2 linked regions of the Tamandua tetradactyla genome follow. The protein of the gene in region 1 interacts with the protein of each later gene in a pairwise test. Links are inferred from orthologs where the notes say so. Each region holds a gene or a part of one and is shown on either strand. Other genes may lie near its edges.

Region 1 (8,030 bases):
TAACAGTTGCTTTAGAGCTAACAGAGACACGGATGTTTGGAGATACTTGGAGAGAACAGATGCCTAGATACAGGTAGAGCTCAACAGACATTGCCATGTGCCTTCCCATGAGATGCTAAGCAAGCCAGAACACAGAACTGTGTCCTGGAGGAACTAAGTGACAGCCCACAGACGCTTAGAGAGGAAACTACTGGCATCAGAAGTGAAAGCAATGAGCTGGGAACAAGGATCAGTAGACACCAGCCACATGCCTTCCTAGCTGATAGAGGAGTTCTGGACAGCATTAGCCTTTCTTGAGGAAAGTTATCTCTTGTTGGTGCCTTAATTTGGACATTTTCACAGCCTTAGAATTGTAACATGCAACTTATTAAATTCCCTTTTTAAAAGTCATTCTATTTTTAGTATATTGTATTCTAGCAGTTTAACTAATACAGCATAAGGAGGTATGTTTTACATTTTAATATCAATAACGACTCATGTACTGATTTCATGGAAAAATCAACTCTTGACTTTGAGATTTTGTACTAATGAAAGTTCAGCTTCTCTTTGTCCTTAGAATAAAGTTGGAAACCTTTAATAGGATCTCCAAGGGTCTGCACAAATGGGGTGCCCAGTCACCACCCTGCCCACTCTTGTTAACCAACCCCTGCTGCACCAATCTCCTTTGTTCCTCAAATAAGCCTATTTGCCTGAAGTGGACTTCTCTTGATCCTTGCCCACTGTTGTGCTTGTTGCTACTTGTACTCCTTCGTCTAATTCAGATCCTCCAGTGTAATCTGAAATTCTCCCTTTTATCTTTGTTCCCTGGCACTCACCAAAATTTGTAATTAGACATTCATTTGTGTGATTATTTATTTTACATCTGAGTGTTTCTCAGACTTGTGTCTTCCAGGAAGAAAGACATTTTACATCCTAAATCATCACACCCATACCATACACACGTTTCAAGTCAAGACCAACATTTCAAGTAAAAATACTTGTTCTCGCCACATTCCAGGCACTCTTATGTTGTCTATGCTATTTCATTTTTAAAAGCGCCAACTGGGACCCTTTAAACTGATTTCATGACCACCTGCAGTTTGGAAAACACTGTATTCTATGCTGTATGTCTAGTTCCAAATGCAGTGCCTTTCAGAAGAAATGTTGACTTAAACAATAGATGTGCAAGGCCTCACGTTTCAGGGTAGTTTTTAATTATTGCTCTATGAAAAAGGCCACAGAGCTCCATTTTTTCCTTTCTCTTTTTCACATATAAGAACACTGCTATTAATGCCACTGAATGCTGTGGTTATATTGTCCTAGAGAGTATATATCATTTATTATGACGACAGTGTTTTTTGGACTCAGGCCCTAAGTTACCTCAAAATGACATGGAATAACAGTCTGTTAAAATGTTTGGGCAGAAAAATCACACATTGCTAATTAAGTTTTCAGAGACTTTTCTTGAACTTTCTCCCTAGATCTGTTTTAATGCTGTGTAGATTATAACTAATTGACTTAACATGCATATCCTTATAATTATACTAAATTTTGCTTTTTTAAAGTAAGATTTTACTATTGTGGGAAAACAGAGCTATTTGATACTCTGGGTTAAGAATGTAATAATGATCTTTATCATTTCAAAAGCACACAGACTGAGTTCTGGTGTTATTTATAATTTTGCTAGTGGAAGAAATAAAATCATCTAAGACAATCTCCAGCCCAATTTTACAGCTGAACTTTTAAACATATTTCTCCTTTTCCACTTCAGAATTTTCTTTATTTCCTAAACTTTATCAGCTGTGGCCATTAAATATCACACCTTTAACATTGAGAAATTTTAACATTCTTAAAGAGAACCATCTTTTAATAATTAATTCATGATTGTTTCCCTTTCAACTTCAAGAATGCCACACATCAGCTTTTCATACCAATAATTCAATGTATTCTAAAGTATAAAACTGCAAAATGGAGTAGAGAGAGCATAAACACTGGAATAGAAGCAAAGTAGGTGGGAAATGGGAAAACGTAAAAGGGTAGAGACCAACTGTCCATCTAGGTGTTAAATCTTACTCTTCTCCACAGTACCTGCCCCTCACTTCAGAGACAGAGGTGATTCACCTTCAGGGGTTTCCTTTACCTGATCCTCCAGCCACCTCTTTCCTCTATTTTTGGCCCCATTTTCTTTCCCTGTCAAAATTCTGAAACATGCATGTCTATGTGTTCTCCCTTTTTTTCTTTTTCTTTTTCTTTTTTTGCATGGGCAGGCACCAGGAATTGAAGCCAGGTCTCCGACATGGCAAGTGAGAACTCTGCCTGCTGAGCTACCGTGGCCCGCGCTATGTGCTCTCCTTTTGATGTCCAGGAATCTGGTTTCCATTCCCAGCACCTCACCAAGTTGTTTAAAGCTACCTTGGAGCCCTTCTGCCACCAGACAGAAGGGCCTTTCCCAGCCTCATGCTCCTTGACTAACCCTGCAGTGAATCCTGCTATAACACCCCCTCTCCTAAGCTTTCTGTGCTCTGGCTTCTGAAACCATGTCCTATGCTGATTCTCCTGCCTCTGTGACTGCTCGTTCGGAATTTCCTCCTCTACTTTTTCTCCAAGGCATGCCCCAGCTCCAGTTGGACTTTCCACTCTTTTCTTTAGAGAGTTCATTTACAACCTCTTTACTGACAACTTCCAAATCTCACTTCTTTCACTGGCAAGCCAGTCTTGCAATTGCTACAGAGTATTTCTGATGGGAAGTTTTGCTGTCATCTCTTGAATGTTCTGCTTTTCCAGCCTCATGGCTCTACAGCAATTTCCCTCTGATCATGAGTTCTCAGTGCCTGGTTTGGCACTGCTCCAGCTCCAGGCCCTGGCTCTTGTAATCCACATGGACTCAATGCTGCTTACTTGTGTGAAAACCTCCTTGGGTCCCACCATTTCCTGCTGCACCTGGCTCTCGGGGTCCTCTCTTATCTGGCCCCTTTCTCTCAGTCCTATCCTATTTTCCACTTGTCTGCCTTATGAGCTGTTCATTCATGGTCAAGCCACCCTCTTGACCTATCAGCAAACCCTGCTCCTTCTTTCCTCCATGGTTCACTACCACTGTCCTCCCCATTGTCCCCATCCACTGAGGTCACAGCCCAAATCAACAGCCGCTGTAGCCCTTCAGCCTCCACCCACAAGGCTCTCATTTCCTTCATTCCCTTAACCACCTCTCTTGTTTTCTGGGCTTTGCTCCCTATCTCCCTGACTAGGACAGGGAGAAAGTCTCCTCCTCTGCCTACAGCATCTAACAGCAGTCCTTATTTACCCACATGCTAAACATGCCACACGCAGAGTGATGGACTCCAGGGTCCTGGCACTGCTGCCCACTGCTTTCTAAGCTGCACTTCTGGAAAGACAGGTGGCTTTCTGCCTATAGATTTCAGGGAGGTCCAGAAGTTTTCCTATTAGTAACTTCTTACTCGCTTCTTATTTCACCTGCTCGTGCTCAACCCACACAAATTAATACCCACAACTTGAAACTATTCTCACAATTACATAGAATTGCATCACGGCTGTGTGTGACAAGCTGCATACATGCTGTGTAGTCCTCTTCTTGACCCAGTCCATTCCTGCCTTAGAACGTCCAATCCATGTACTATTCTCTCTTTCCTCACAGTTTCTAGCGTCTTTACTTCTGGCCCTGTATAGTGAAACTCAGATCGTTAATCCCATATTTGTATGGGCTGTATTGTGTGGGCTGGAAAAGTTAAAAATTCATGGATTTGTGTGTTTCTCCTAAATTATTTTGTCCTATGTCTTTGCCTCTTCCTGAGGTAGCAAAAAATACCAATTTTCATAGGTCATGTCACAGGTTAACAGTCCATGACGTGAAAGCACAGCTGCGTTCTAGAGTTTGATCCTAGGGGGGAAAAAGAATTGAGTGGAGTTTTAACTCGATGTGCTTCGGCGATGGTGCCTTTAAACGCAGCAGTTTCCAACCTAATATTAGGACTGCATCTTTTGAAGTGGAAAGCAGCATCTTTTCCCGGTGGCAAACAATGGCTCAAGTGGAGTGACAAGCTCTATCACTCTAGGCAGGACCTTTGGGAAACGTGCGTTAAGAGGGGGGCGTCCCGTAGGACGGAGCCAAAAGTGGAGTTGCTCTGAGATGCAGGAAACACAGCTGGAAAGGATCCCCAAGTTGTCCATGTTTGGTTCTAGAGCTGCCCGCAAGCTCGGGGACAGCGCCCGGCGAGGGTGTGGTGAAGGAGGTGGGACATCGGGCGAACGGGGCCGTTCCGGCGGTGAGGCCGGTCTAGGCGGCGTCCCCGCCCTACCTCCAGGCCAGCCCGGGGGTCCTCGCCCGTCCGCTGCATCACCCGGACCGTGGACCTCGTGTACCTCTCGCCCCATCAGCGCCGCCGCTGCTCTCCGGGCCTCTCCCTTTGTCCCTTCGGCCCTCACGCCTCGCGGGACGCCGAGCGTCCCCGCGCCGTCGTCCTCCTGAGGAGACGGCCGCCCCGTACCCCCGCACCCTGCGGTCCTGGGGGGGCAGGCGAGCCTGGCCGAGAGCGCGCGCTCCCGTAGCATCCCAGCCAGTCAGGGCCGCCAGCCCTTTCGGAGGGCGAGGAAAGGCCGCCCGACGCGCCGTGGGTGGGGAGAGGGCAGGCCCAGGCCGCGTTCCCCCCGCCTCCACTCGCGACCACGCCCCGCCACGTCCCCCGCCTCCCCCGGCAGCGGGCCGGGTCGCCCTCTCAGGCCGCCCCCTGGCGGGCAGTGTCGGCGCGGGTCCGTGGCGGCGGCGGCGGCGGCGGGCCCGGGGTTGCCATGGTGACCGGCAGCAGCCGCCGCCACAGCAGGGCCGGCCCCAGCGCCAGCGCCGGCCGCGGCTCGGGCCCGGGCTTAGTGTGTGGGTGAGCAGCGGCGGCGCGGCCGAACCGGGGAGCGGGCGCTGCCGGCGGCCTCAGCATGGAGGACGGCTTCTCGAGCTACAGCAGCCTTTATGACACGTCTTCGTTGCTCCAATTCTGCAACGGTGAGGGGCGGCCGCGCGGGAGGGCCGCGGGCCGCGGGGCCGGGGCGGCGGCGGCCGGGGCGGGAGAGCGGGGCAGGCGGGGGCCGAGCTGAGGGGCCGAGGCCCGGCGGCCGCGGGCGAGGCCGCGCAAACTTGCTCCTGAGGGGCGCGCAGTTCCCGCCGCCTCTGGCGCATTGTGCTGGGGCTGCGGGGCCGCGCCTCGCCCCCGGCCGGAGCCGAGCGGAGTCGGGCGGCGGTCGCTCCCATCCATCGCCCGCGGCTCGGGCCGGTTGCCGCACGGACTCCCGAGCTGACCATGACGAGAGCCGGCGAGCGGACCAAGACGGGGAGCGGAGGGAGCCGGAGAGGCCCGGGCAGCCTCGGGGTTCCAGGGGAACGTGTTGCTTTTCTGCTTGCAAACTCACATCTCTTCGGAAATTACTGGATGAGGAACTCGAAAACAAATCACTTAATCACAGAGCACTCCTACGAGGATGCACGCAGTGTTTGTTGCTGGTAGACCCTCAGAATCCGTTCAGATTTACTTTAATTGCGCGATCACAGTTTAATGCACTCCAGATCTTTGTAAATGGAAAGGCAAAGTGGACCTGGCTTCAAAGTATGGTCGTTTATTTTGTTTACTGGGTTATAGATTTTTCTGCGTTTTTTTGTTTTTACAGGAAAGAAACATTAATAGCTACTAATATGGCATCTTTTAAAAATATAAAATCCTTTATGCTTGAAAGATTTTAGTCTCATTTTGCGAGGTTGAGAAAGAGTTCCACAGCACACTGCATGTTTTATCAGAACATGATGCCTAATAATTCATGCACGAAGTTAAGCATACATTTTATATATTGGATATATTGCTTCGTCAAAGGAACCCGAAAGTTTGTTAGAGAAAAATAAAATGTATTTTATAGAATTTGTCTATAAGTGCAGTCGGGGTAATTTTGAATTCTAGACTCTGACAGCTCCCGCAATTTCTTTTGCAATTGTAATTGTGATTTGGGGAAACTTTTCTCGTTATTCAACACCTGTTTGCAAACAGGAGACCTTAGCTGTAGCAGTAAAGAGTACTGAGTGTGTTGCTTCATCTCTGTAGTGGTATTTCGAACACTAGCCAAAGTGATTTTCTCTTTCGTGGCAGAGTGTATATTCTGGTAGTTTTTATAGCTTATAATTTTCATATTAACAACATGTGGACCTTCATTAACTTAGTAATGCCCCTTTCGGAGGAATGAAAGAAAGTTTTTACTTTCTCCAAACTTAACCACAATTTCCTAGAGCAGAGTTTTGAGCCTCAGAAGGGGTTGATGGCAGGTAGGAAGTATTTGGCACTCTGCAGGCTTCTGGAACACTTTATAATATACAGCCTGTAGGTTGAATAAATACCTCAATTAAATTTTGAGTAGTTTTCTTAACTGACTTGTAATCAGTCATACTTGAATTGGTAGTTTTGATCTACAAGTTAAGTAGATCTGTCCTCATTACAGCTTATGATAAAAATTTTCCCTGTGTTGGTGGTAAAAGATGTATGAAATGACTTCCAGGCATAAAGATATTAAAAAATCAATATGTGGTCATATCATTGACCGTTTGACCTGGGATATGAAAACGAACCTAGATATTTTTGTTTTAGCAGTTGTTTTGGGGCCTGGTCATATTGTTCGTAAATAGCAATTCAGTCACAAAGTTGACCTCCACATCTGTTCATGAATTGTTTCAGCCATTTCCAATGAGTTGCTAGTTCAGACATATTATGGTATATAACTGATAATGGTGTCTAGAAGAAAGTAAAAACCAGCTCTTATGTATTGTCTAGGTAACAGTGTTGAGAAAATCTCTTTTAAATAACTAGAATTAAGCAGTAAGATCACTTCAGAACACAAGTGAATTATAACTGTTGAATTACTTTTCTCAAAAAACCCTTAGCTGTGTTTATTATTTTTTAAGAAGTAAATTCAGAGGAAGAGTAGATTACGGTGGGACAGAAATGAATGCTAACTGATGATGTCTTAGGCAACAGATGTTTTGATGTAAAATTGTTCATTTTAAGAGACCTCCATTTAAGTAAAGTATACATGAATACAATTCAGTTAATTAGTATGATGATACAGTGAAAATAGTGGAACACAGAAATGGCATTCACAATGACTAAATTAAACATTTGGATATTTCATTAGCTACGTTGGACTTTTTTCTTTTTAAATAGAGATTTGCATTACAATGGCAAGATACAACAGCATAACATATAAACTCAGACATTATCTTAGTTGAACATGCTCCTTGCTTTTGATATTGAGAGAAACTAAAAAAGACCTAGTTAGATCTTTCAGCTAGCTTCAGAAAATTTAATCCATGCTTGTTATTTGGATGACAGTTACAGTTTAATTCCATCTACTGGGATAAAGATAGGAGATAGGGTATAAATGAGAAGGGAGAAAGAGATAACTGCTCTAATGAATGAACTTTCTATCTTCTTATATTGTCTTCTTGCCCTCTCTCCTACTTCATTTGTATGAAAAGTGATCTTATTGTTTAATTCTGGTTATTTAAAAGAGATTTTTTGCAAAAGTATAAATGAAAAGTTAGGCAATATCGAGACTTCTGAAAAGGCTGTTCGTTCTCATCCCGTTACTGGAAAATTTGTGCAATGTTTTTCCTTCTAAGTATTTAAAACTCTGTAAAGTGAGCTAGAAGTCACGAACTTCTTATGCTGTCAGAAAAACTACAGTAATGGAAAAGAGGACGAGAACTGTCATTTATAACCCTTCCTTGGGGTCAGCTTTGTTTCTTCTCCCCTTGCCCATTGGAAAAATGAGGTCCAAAGAATTTGGATGCCATTCTGAATTTTTATATGTACTATATATAAATATCTTTGTATCTGTTATATGGTATTTATTTTAAAGTATACAATTAAGTGACTTTTAGTAAATTCACAGAATTGTGCAAGCATCAGCACTATCTAATTTTTGAATATTTCATTACCCCGCAAAGAAACTCTGTTACCATTAGTGGTCACTCCCCTCCCCCTTCCCCACTGACAATCACTGATCTA
Region 2 (8,230 bases), on another chromosome or scaffold:
GAAGCCACTCAAGGTATTCTGTGTACTTTTAGATTTTCTTTAGGACATGCTAACAGGTGAGGGTGGGAGGGGAATCAGATCTCCAGTTGGTGACACTCCCGTCCCACCCCACCACCCCCAACCTCACTCTTCAATCTTGAGCTCGTGGACCCTGGGGATCCCCTGCACGCCTGGCCGTCGGAGCTCGGGCCGGGCACGGCGGATCACCGTCTCCAGTGCTGCACGATAGCAGTGGGTTCGGAGGCTGGGGCCTGCTTTCTGTAGCCGCTCAGCATATTCCTCTAGAGCATGGCAGGCCCCCTCCCGCAGCCTGTAGGGCAGTTCACAGCCAGGCAGCCCAGCTACCCAGTGGCTCAGTGGGTAGCCACCAGGGTCACTCAGCTTCATGTAGCAGCAGCCCACGGAGGCCAGGGCTGCAACCTCAGAGCAGCAGGAGAAGTGCCTCAGCAAGGCGACACTCAGATCCCCACAGGCATGGAGGCCTGCCAGCAGCAAGCGGGCCCCACCCTGAGGCAGGGGCTCCAGTGGAAGCAGGAGCTCCTCACACAGGGCTGTGGGGTCCACCCACCTAACCATGTGGTGTGGAGGGTGGCGAGGGCCAGCTTGAACCACCTGTGGAGGCAAGAAAGGACAAGGGCAGATGGGAAGTCTGCTGTCCCCATGCCACTCAGGCCACAGGAAAGGATCTGTCCTGTGTTTCCTCCCAAGGAGGAACATGGCAGAGAAGCTGGGGCATAGCAGAGAGCTGGACCATGAATGAGGAGATGGGATAAATTCTGGATCCTACCAATTGTTAACTTTGCAAAACTTCATTTTGATCTCCATTCACAGGATGTATCCGTGTGGAAAGCACTTTGTAACCTAGTGAGTGCCTGTGAGATATGGAATGGCTTTGGGGAAGAGGGGACCTGGGGAAGAGGGAGCAGATACAGGGGCCATACCATCTCAAACCGAGAAACCTGAAAGAGAATTCAGCCTTGGTGCCCAATTACAGCCAAGCAGACCCTATTCTTAAAGTCCTGGCTGCAGGAGGGAGTGGCTTACCTTTGGGTTCCTCTTCTCCTCTTTCTCCAGAGCCTGCAGGAGCGCTTCATCCAGCCGCTGGGCTCTCTCCACCAGTCTCTGATCTCCTTCAATGCTCTTCACCAAAAGCCCCAGTCCCAAAGACATGAAGCGGGAGAGATGGCCCTGAAGTCACGAGAGGGTAGAGACAACCCTGTTTAGTGCCTATTCGACTATCACCCCCCTTTGGACCCACTGAAGGCTTAAATTCTGTCCTGCCTGGTTCCACCATTCTCAGCATTTGCCTCCCTGGCCTGTAGGCCTGACAGCCTCTCCCTTCCAGCTGTTCTGTCCCCCACAACTCAAAAGAACAGTATATAAGAGGTCTGGCTCACCTGGCCTGAGCCTACATCCACAACCTGGGTGCAGCCTGTGAGGTCACTCAGCTTCTTCACCAACTGAAAAAGGAGGGACTCCTGGCCATTTGTTCTTGATTCCCAGGGAAAACCCCCGTAATGAAAGTAAAGGAACTGAAGATGGCAGAGGAAGATGGACAGAGAGAGCCACCGAAGAGGCAACAGATACGGAAAGCAAAATGGGCGAGGGGAGAATGGGTGCTGACCCCAGGTGCAGGCTACTCTCCTTACTCCTCTCAGGTTAGTGAGTCACCCTCCCTCATAAATGAGGAAGAGCCCTGCTGTGAATCCATGAGCAGGTTGTGGACATATGAGAAGAGGAATAAGATTGTTATTCAGACATAGCCACTGACCAACCCAGAAAGAGGTGGGGGAAAAGAAAAAAGGAGCATGGAAATATGATTATATAGTAGGTCTACCAAGGAAGGGGGCTTCTAGGAACTCTGGTCCTGCATGTGAGGTAAGGAACATGTAATTTTGTACCCCAGGACTCCCAGATACCACCTATATGCCCAGCCATTTCTTCACCTCTCCCAGCCTTCGGATCTCATGTTGCTTCTTGGGCCTGACATGTTTCCGGAAGGGAGCTGTCAGTCGGGAGCTCTGGCTGGGGTTCTCCAGGAATTCTGAAGGTGTCTGGAACCCAGGAGTCCGGGTAAAGGCCAGGGCAAAGGCTGTGGACTTCAGGGCCAGCAGGGTGAGTGGCCACACTGACCTGTACCTGAGATAGCCCGGCCCAGGCCAACAATGAAGAGTCCCATCACACCCTGAGTGCAGCAATTTACAACCCAGGGGACCGAGAAAGCCCTTGTGCGATTCTCTGAGCAATGGCTAGCTACAAGGCTCAGTGCCCTGAGTTCTCACCCATACCTGACCACCTCCCCTTCCCCAGGCATCCCCAGCAACATCGTGGCCAGCTGTGGTGGGTTCAGTCCATCCAGTGCTTCCTGCCATGAACAAGGGAGTGTGCCCCACAAGTTGTCAGTGAAAAATTCCTGCAAAAGGGGAAAAGCCATCAGCAGACCACTACCATTCCCATTCTACGCCACCCGACTCACAGCTCCCATCTTGTCTCCTGGCTTTTCCCAGCACTGTTGCTACACAGGGCCACTGGCTGCAACCAGCAAGTATCTTGTACTCATCCTTGAGACCTCTTCTCTGAAGTCTGCTCCAGCCTCCCACAGTTCCCAGGTGGTTGACTTCTTCCTCTGTGCCCAGACTGCATTCTGGACAAACCTCTCTGTTTAGAAATCTCCTCACTTATCTATGACTTGTTTTCTCTACTCAACTGCACTTCTTAACAGCAAGAATGGTGTCTTGTTCACGTCTGCATCCCCACAGTGACTGACAGACAATAGTATGTTACCATTTAGTAACCTATCATTATTTGTGCCAGACATCAAGTGTGTTTATTCATTCATTTGGTTAACACAAATTCTGGGGCACACAAATTACTGTTCCAGGCTTGGGATACAGCCCTGAACCAGAGATGATGCTCCTGCTCTCGTGGGGTTTACATTAAAACAATTTTTTTTTTCAGATATCAAATGCCACAAACAATAAAACGCTAATGAAACAGTAGTGGAGGATCTGAGAGATGACTATTTTAGATAGCGTGATGAGGGAAGACTTGTCAGAGGAGGTGACATATGAACTCAATCTTGAATGACAGACACGAATCAGGCATATAAAAAAAATACAGGTAATAGCAAAACTGATGTAATACTTTAATCTGCCAGGCACTGTTCTAGACATTTTAGATGAATTTATACATTCAATCTCTAGAGCAACCGTATGAGGTAGGTACTGTTGTTATCCCCCATTTTACAGATAAGGAAACTGATGCACAGCTATTAACTGGCCCAAGTCAAGAGATTCTAAGTAGCTGAGCCAATTTTGAAAGCCGTACAACTCTAGAGACCTTGCTCTTATCCATTCTGCTCTATTGCCTCTCTCTTGAAAGAGCCGTTCCAGTCTGAGCAGTAAGTGTGGAGGCCTGGAAGCCTACAATCTGTGTGGAACAGGAAGCAAGCCAGTGTAGGTGTGGCACAGTGAACATGGGAGAGAATGAAATGTGAAGGGACTGAAGAGGCAGCAGGAGCCAGATCAAGTAGGGCTTTACCTTATATATAAGGATTAGGACTTTACACAAAGCACCCAGGAAGCAAGGTGAGTAATCATGTTCAGGTTTACATGATAGAGATCAATCTGGTGGCTCTGGAAATTTGGTAATAGAGGGCCAGAGCTAAACCCAGATCTGTTAGCTATTGTAGTCGTTTAGAGCAGAGGCAGTGGTTTGACCCAGGGTGGTAGCACCGGAGAGGAAGAGAAGTGGATAAATCTATTATCTATTCTGGAGGTAGAGGCAACAGGACTTGCTGAATGATTTAACTGGGGATCAAGCTAAGGAAAGAGTGGAATCAAGGATGACTTCTGGGTCTGAATATTTCAGTGGATACTGGTGCCATTTACACATTATCTAATTTATTCGTCACAATGACTTATTCTTCCCTTCAGACAGAGATCCATTTTACAGCTGAGGAAACCAGGAAGAGGGAGATTTGTAAAAACAATCTTGTTTTAAGGCAAACACAGAAGGGGAGGATTCTAGTCCAGTCTGTCTGATTGCAAGCTGAAACTGTCCACAACACAAACACACGAGGTCAGTCAGAACTGGGTGAACATACGTGTTCTAGAAACACCTCACATGTTCCTAGAATGGGAGTTCAATGTGACTGCAATACGGCTCACATGTCTATGCGTTTATTCACCTTGATTTGGGAAAATTAGAAAACCACCTACGTATCAGAAATATTAATATTTGCAGCAGATGAAAAAAAATGGGAGTGGGGGTGGAAGAACCAACCCAATTTTAACCCTTTTCGTAGACACAGAAGACTAAAATTCATATAAGAAAAGTGCTCAGGGCCAACTCCGGATTCTCTCCCTGCCGTGGGCACCTAAGCGATCACACACCCAGTACTTGCCCCGGGAGCACCCCCCACACCCCTGCGGCCTCACGATGATGTAGGCGTCCAGGATGGAGCGGTAGAGCGCCAGGACACGGGTGAGGTTCACAGCTAGCCGCCTCCTCGCCTCGAGAGAGAGGCCGCGGGCAGAGACGCCCGGCATCCGGGGCTCCTGCCGGTCGAGAGGGCAGCGAGATCGCGCCGAAGGATCCAAGGTCACCACCACGCAGGTCCAAGACGCGGGCTGGATTAAACTCTGCGGGGGGCACGGGAAGAAAAGGTTTGGGGTCTGGCCCCCAACGCTGCCTTTCCGGCATCTCAGGCTGGGGCTGAAGATATGAGGCACCCCCTTGACGTCATAGATCGCAACTTCTCACAGCGCTGAGATGTCAGCGTCGTGAGACAGGAGGGGCAGGCTGACAGAGGACTGACGCCACAGAGGCTTGCGGCGGAGCCACGCCCACGAAGGGGGCGGGCCAAGTTCCAGATCGCGCGCCTTCCTGTACACGCCCCTCCCCTCCCGGAAGTAAGGTCACGTCTCGGCGCGCTTCCGTTCTGGTTTGTCGCGGCTTCCCCGCACCTTCGAGTTGTACCTCCACGGGGCTAGAGGGGCCGGGGAGCGCATCCCGCCCCCGCCCCCACCCACCCCGCCCCCCCCACCGGCGCCGCTGCCGCTCCTCACACACTCGGAATCCCTAACTTCGCTCCCCGAGGTAGGGGCTCTGCGGGCGCGCGCGCGCCGGCCGCCAGCGCGTTCCAACCCGCGCGCCTTCCGTCCCGGCCCTCGTCGACGGGCGCCAGTTTCCGCATCCGGCTCCGGGCGCTTCCGGTCTTAACAGCGCACACCCTGAAGGTAGGTTTGTTGGAGCATTGGTCCCGGCCTGGGTGTGTTGGGGAAACGATCTCCGTGGCGAGAATCAAAGTGCTTTCGCCGAGGTGGGCTCACCGAGCCTGAATTTCCCTCCGCTCCTCCCCCCCGCTGATAAGTGGCCCCTTCTTGGGAGAAGGATTTGGATGAGATGTATTGGAGACTCCCCCCACCTGGAGCTAAGAGAAAGGGGTACCTGGATTTGTATTTCTATTGGTGGAACCCGGGGATGTCTAGATAACCTAGAGGTCATCTGTGCCATGCCCGTCCCTGCGTTTGAGCATATTTATAGTACCCTCCCTGGATAAATCTTTATAAAACTCAACTATTCTGGTATTCCAGACTCACAGAGAGTTCGAGCTCCACGGGCTCCCCAGCCCTTTCGGTTAACAAATGAGGCTGAGACTTAGAGAGGGAACGACCCTCCTAAGACCATGCGGCTCCCAACTCAGAGCAGTGTGCTCCGTTCGTTAATTCCCTTTGCATCTCATTCCTCTTCTACCTGGGAGGTTGCTCTGCTATCTTAACTTCTTCCTTAAGTCCTACGGAGATCTGTCTTTTCTTATTCTTCTCCCAGGTTTATGGGCTCGATTATCAGGGTAACTTTCTTCCCCAGGGTATACTACAAACTTCCAGATGTTGGTTTTGGGGATTCAGCAGAGAATGAGTCCCACATCCTCCTTTCATCCATAAGCCACTCTCCCCAACTGCTTTCCCACCATCTACTGTCTTCATGTCTACCTTACTTCTAAATCTGGATTTTGGGGAACCTCCCCCCAAAAAGACATTAGAGGGGAATGCCAAGCACCGAAATTTTGTCAAGAAGCGGCGGCTCTTGGAACGGAGAGGCTTTTTGAATAAGAAGAACCAGCCCCCTAGCAAGAATCCTAGGTTGCACTCAGAACCTCCAAAGAAAGGGGAAGCTCCTAGGGTAGATGGCACTTGGAAGGGTCCTCCCATCCCAAAAAAGAAGAAGAAAACTGTGTCCAGCAGTGAGTCAGAGCAGTCCCTGGACAAGAAAGCCACAGTGTCTTGGCTGACCCCAGCCCCTTTACAGAAGCCTGGATCTGTTGTAGCTAAAGTAGATTTGCTGGGGGAGTTCCAGAGCGCCCTTCCAAAGGTTAAGAGCCGCTCAGCTCGCTCCCAGAAGAAGGGCCCCCAGAAGAACCCTCCTCAGAAGAATGGTCCACAGAAGGATTCCACTCAAGCACACTCAGAGAGTAAATGCACTGGAGCATCCCAGAAAATACCAAGAAAGATGGTGGCAATTGACTGTGAGATGGTGGGCACAGGACCCAAGGGGCATGTCAGTTCTTTAGCGCGATGTAGTATTGTCAACTACAATGGAGATGTGCTTTATGACGAATACGTCCTTCCCCCCTGTCGCATTGTGGACTACAGGACCAGATGGAGTGGTATCCGGAAGCAGCACATGGCGAATGCCACACCCTTCAAGATTGCTCGGAGCCAGGTGAGGGACATGGGGCATGCTGGTGGCAGTAACGTGGGTAGGGGAAGGTCCGTGTCATTTTTCTGGCAAAGGATATATCACCTTGGGAAGATATCAAAAGGATTGGGAAGGTTGGGAGGGGGATATTAGATGATTAAGGCTCCTGTTGGGGTAAGGTGAAAGGCAGGAAGTTTAGAATTAGGTGATGTAGCAGACTTCATTAGCCTGCACCTATTTTAGGTGCCAAGTAGGTTCCTGATTTGGGAAACCGGAAATCTGCATAGAGAAGTAACAGCCACTGATGTAACTGGACAGAACAGCAGCACGAGTGCTGGGGAGAGGGCTGAACTCGGAAATACCTTATAGAGTTTGTGCCTGTGCTTACGAGCAGAGAGGTAGAGAAGGCTTCCAAGCAAGAAGTAGCCTGAGCAAAGTATTGGTGGTAGGAGAGGGCAGAAAGTTGAGAAAACACTGAGGCATATTTATATAACTGGAATAGGAGGGCTGTGATAAAGAGATATAGAGGGCTGGTTGTGTCTGGGTTCTCATCTCATTCATTGATCAAACCTACTCATTCTAGTCCTGTGCTGAATGCTGGGATCACAACAAATGAACAGGAAAGGAGAGTGAGGGAGGAGAGGGGAAAGGAGGAAGTGGAGAGAGGAAGAGAGCAAGGAGAAAGGAGAGCCTGCCGACCTTTGGAGGCCTCCAGAGGGCACCCTTGGTCCACTGTTTTGCAATTTCAGCTCTACTTTTTTGCCATTCCTAGACAACACTGTTCCAAGAATTCCTTTTATTTCCACAATATGGTCAATTGTTGGGGGATTCATCAGAGGTGGATTGCCAGTTTTTTAGGAAGGACTTGGAAGGAAGCAATGAAGAAAGTCCTTTGCACAAGGGGCACAGTTTAGGCACAGGCTCGAGAGGGGCAGAATATGGGGTGGGTCTGAAACAGCAGATCCTCTTAGCTTTAATGCGAGCTGTGTGTTGAGGTTAATACGAACTAAGGGTAGTGGTGGAGAGTGAACCCATATGCATACCCATTTGCATACAATCTGGAGCTTCTGTCACCTCTTTGGAGCCCATCTTTGACTCTCAGGGTCCAGCCACATGTCTAAGGCCAGCACAGTAATAATGGTTAAAGGGCTTGTACGGGACCAAGCAGCAAACCAGAACTGAACTAGTTACATGAACATCTCAAATGCAAGTGTGATTTAGGGCTGAAATCAAATTAATTTGACATTAGAGTAGACACTAATAGGAAGGTAAGGAGGCACTGGTGATACATGTTCTCACGAGGTTACACTATGGAAATTACTTACTTGTCTGAAATAGAGGGAGTGGGTTTGGGGGGAAAGAAAACTTACGGGAGAATGGGCATTTCAAGGATGGGGCACGTGGGCAGTAAGTGGAAAGAACTCTGGACTGCGTTGGGCTTTTAGGACACAGGAGCTCCACTTTTGATTCCTCCTCACCGCCCCCTCTGCCATGCCTATTTCAGATCTTGAAGATACTGGCAGGGAAG

The links.
Region 2: the proteins of EML1 (region 1) and ISG20L2 interact in binary tests that used the Homo sapiens proteins (3 or more experiments, as listed by UniProt). The two-hybrid records come from large-scale screens. The link is inferred for Tamandua tetradactyla from reciprocal best matches to the Homo sapiens genes EML1 and ISG20L2.

The regions. Positions count from the first base shown.
Region 1 is NC_135338.1:61,048,463-61,056,492, forward strand, and holds the start of EML1 (echinoderm microtubule-associated protein-like 1), read left to right. Parts: upstream 1-4,866; 5' UTR 4,867-4,923; coding exon 4,924-4,990; intron 4,991-8,030. UniProt on the Homo sapiens protein: Modulates the assembly and organization of the microtubule cytoskeleton, and probably plays a role in regulating the orientation of the mitotic spindle and the orientation of the plane of cell division.
Region 2 is NC_135330.1:9,718,045-9,726,274, reverse strand, and holds the start of ISG20L2 (interferon-stimulated 20 kDa exonuclease-like 2), read left to right. Parts: upstream 1-5,108; 5' UTR 5,109-5,240; intron 5,241-5,241; exon of another isoform or gene 5,242-5,323; intron 5,324-5,871; 5' UTR 5,872-5,988; coding exon 5,989-6,726; intron 6,727-8,206; coding exon 8,207-8,230. Other genes in the region: METTL25B (methyltransferase-like protein 25B), read right to left, coding at 128-612, 1,045-1,188, 1,398-1,460, 1,947-2,139, 2,289-2,413, 4,426-4,704. UniProt on the Homo sapiens protein: 3'-> 5'-exoribonuclease involved in ribosome biogenesis in the processing of the 12S pre-rRNA. Displays a strong specificity for a 3'-end containing a free hydroxyl group.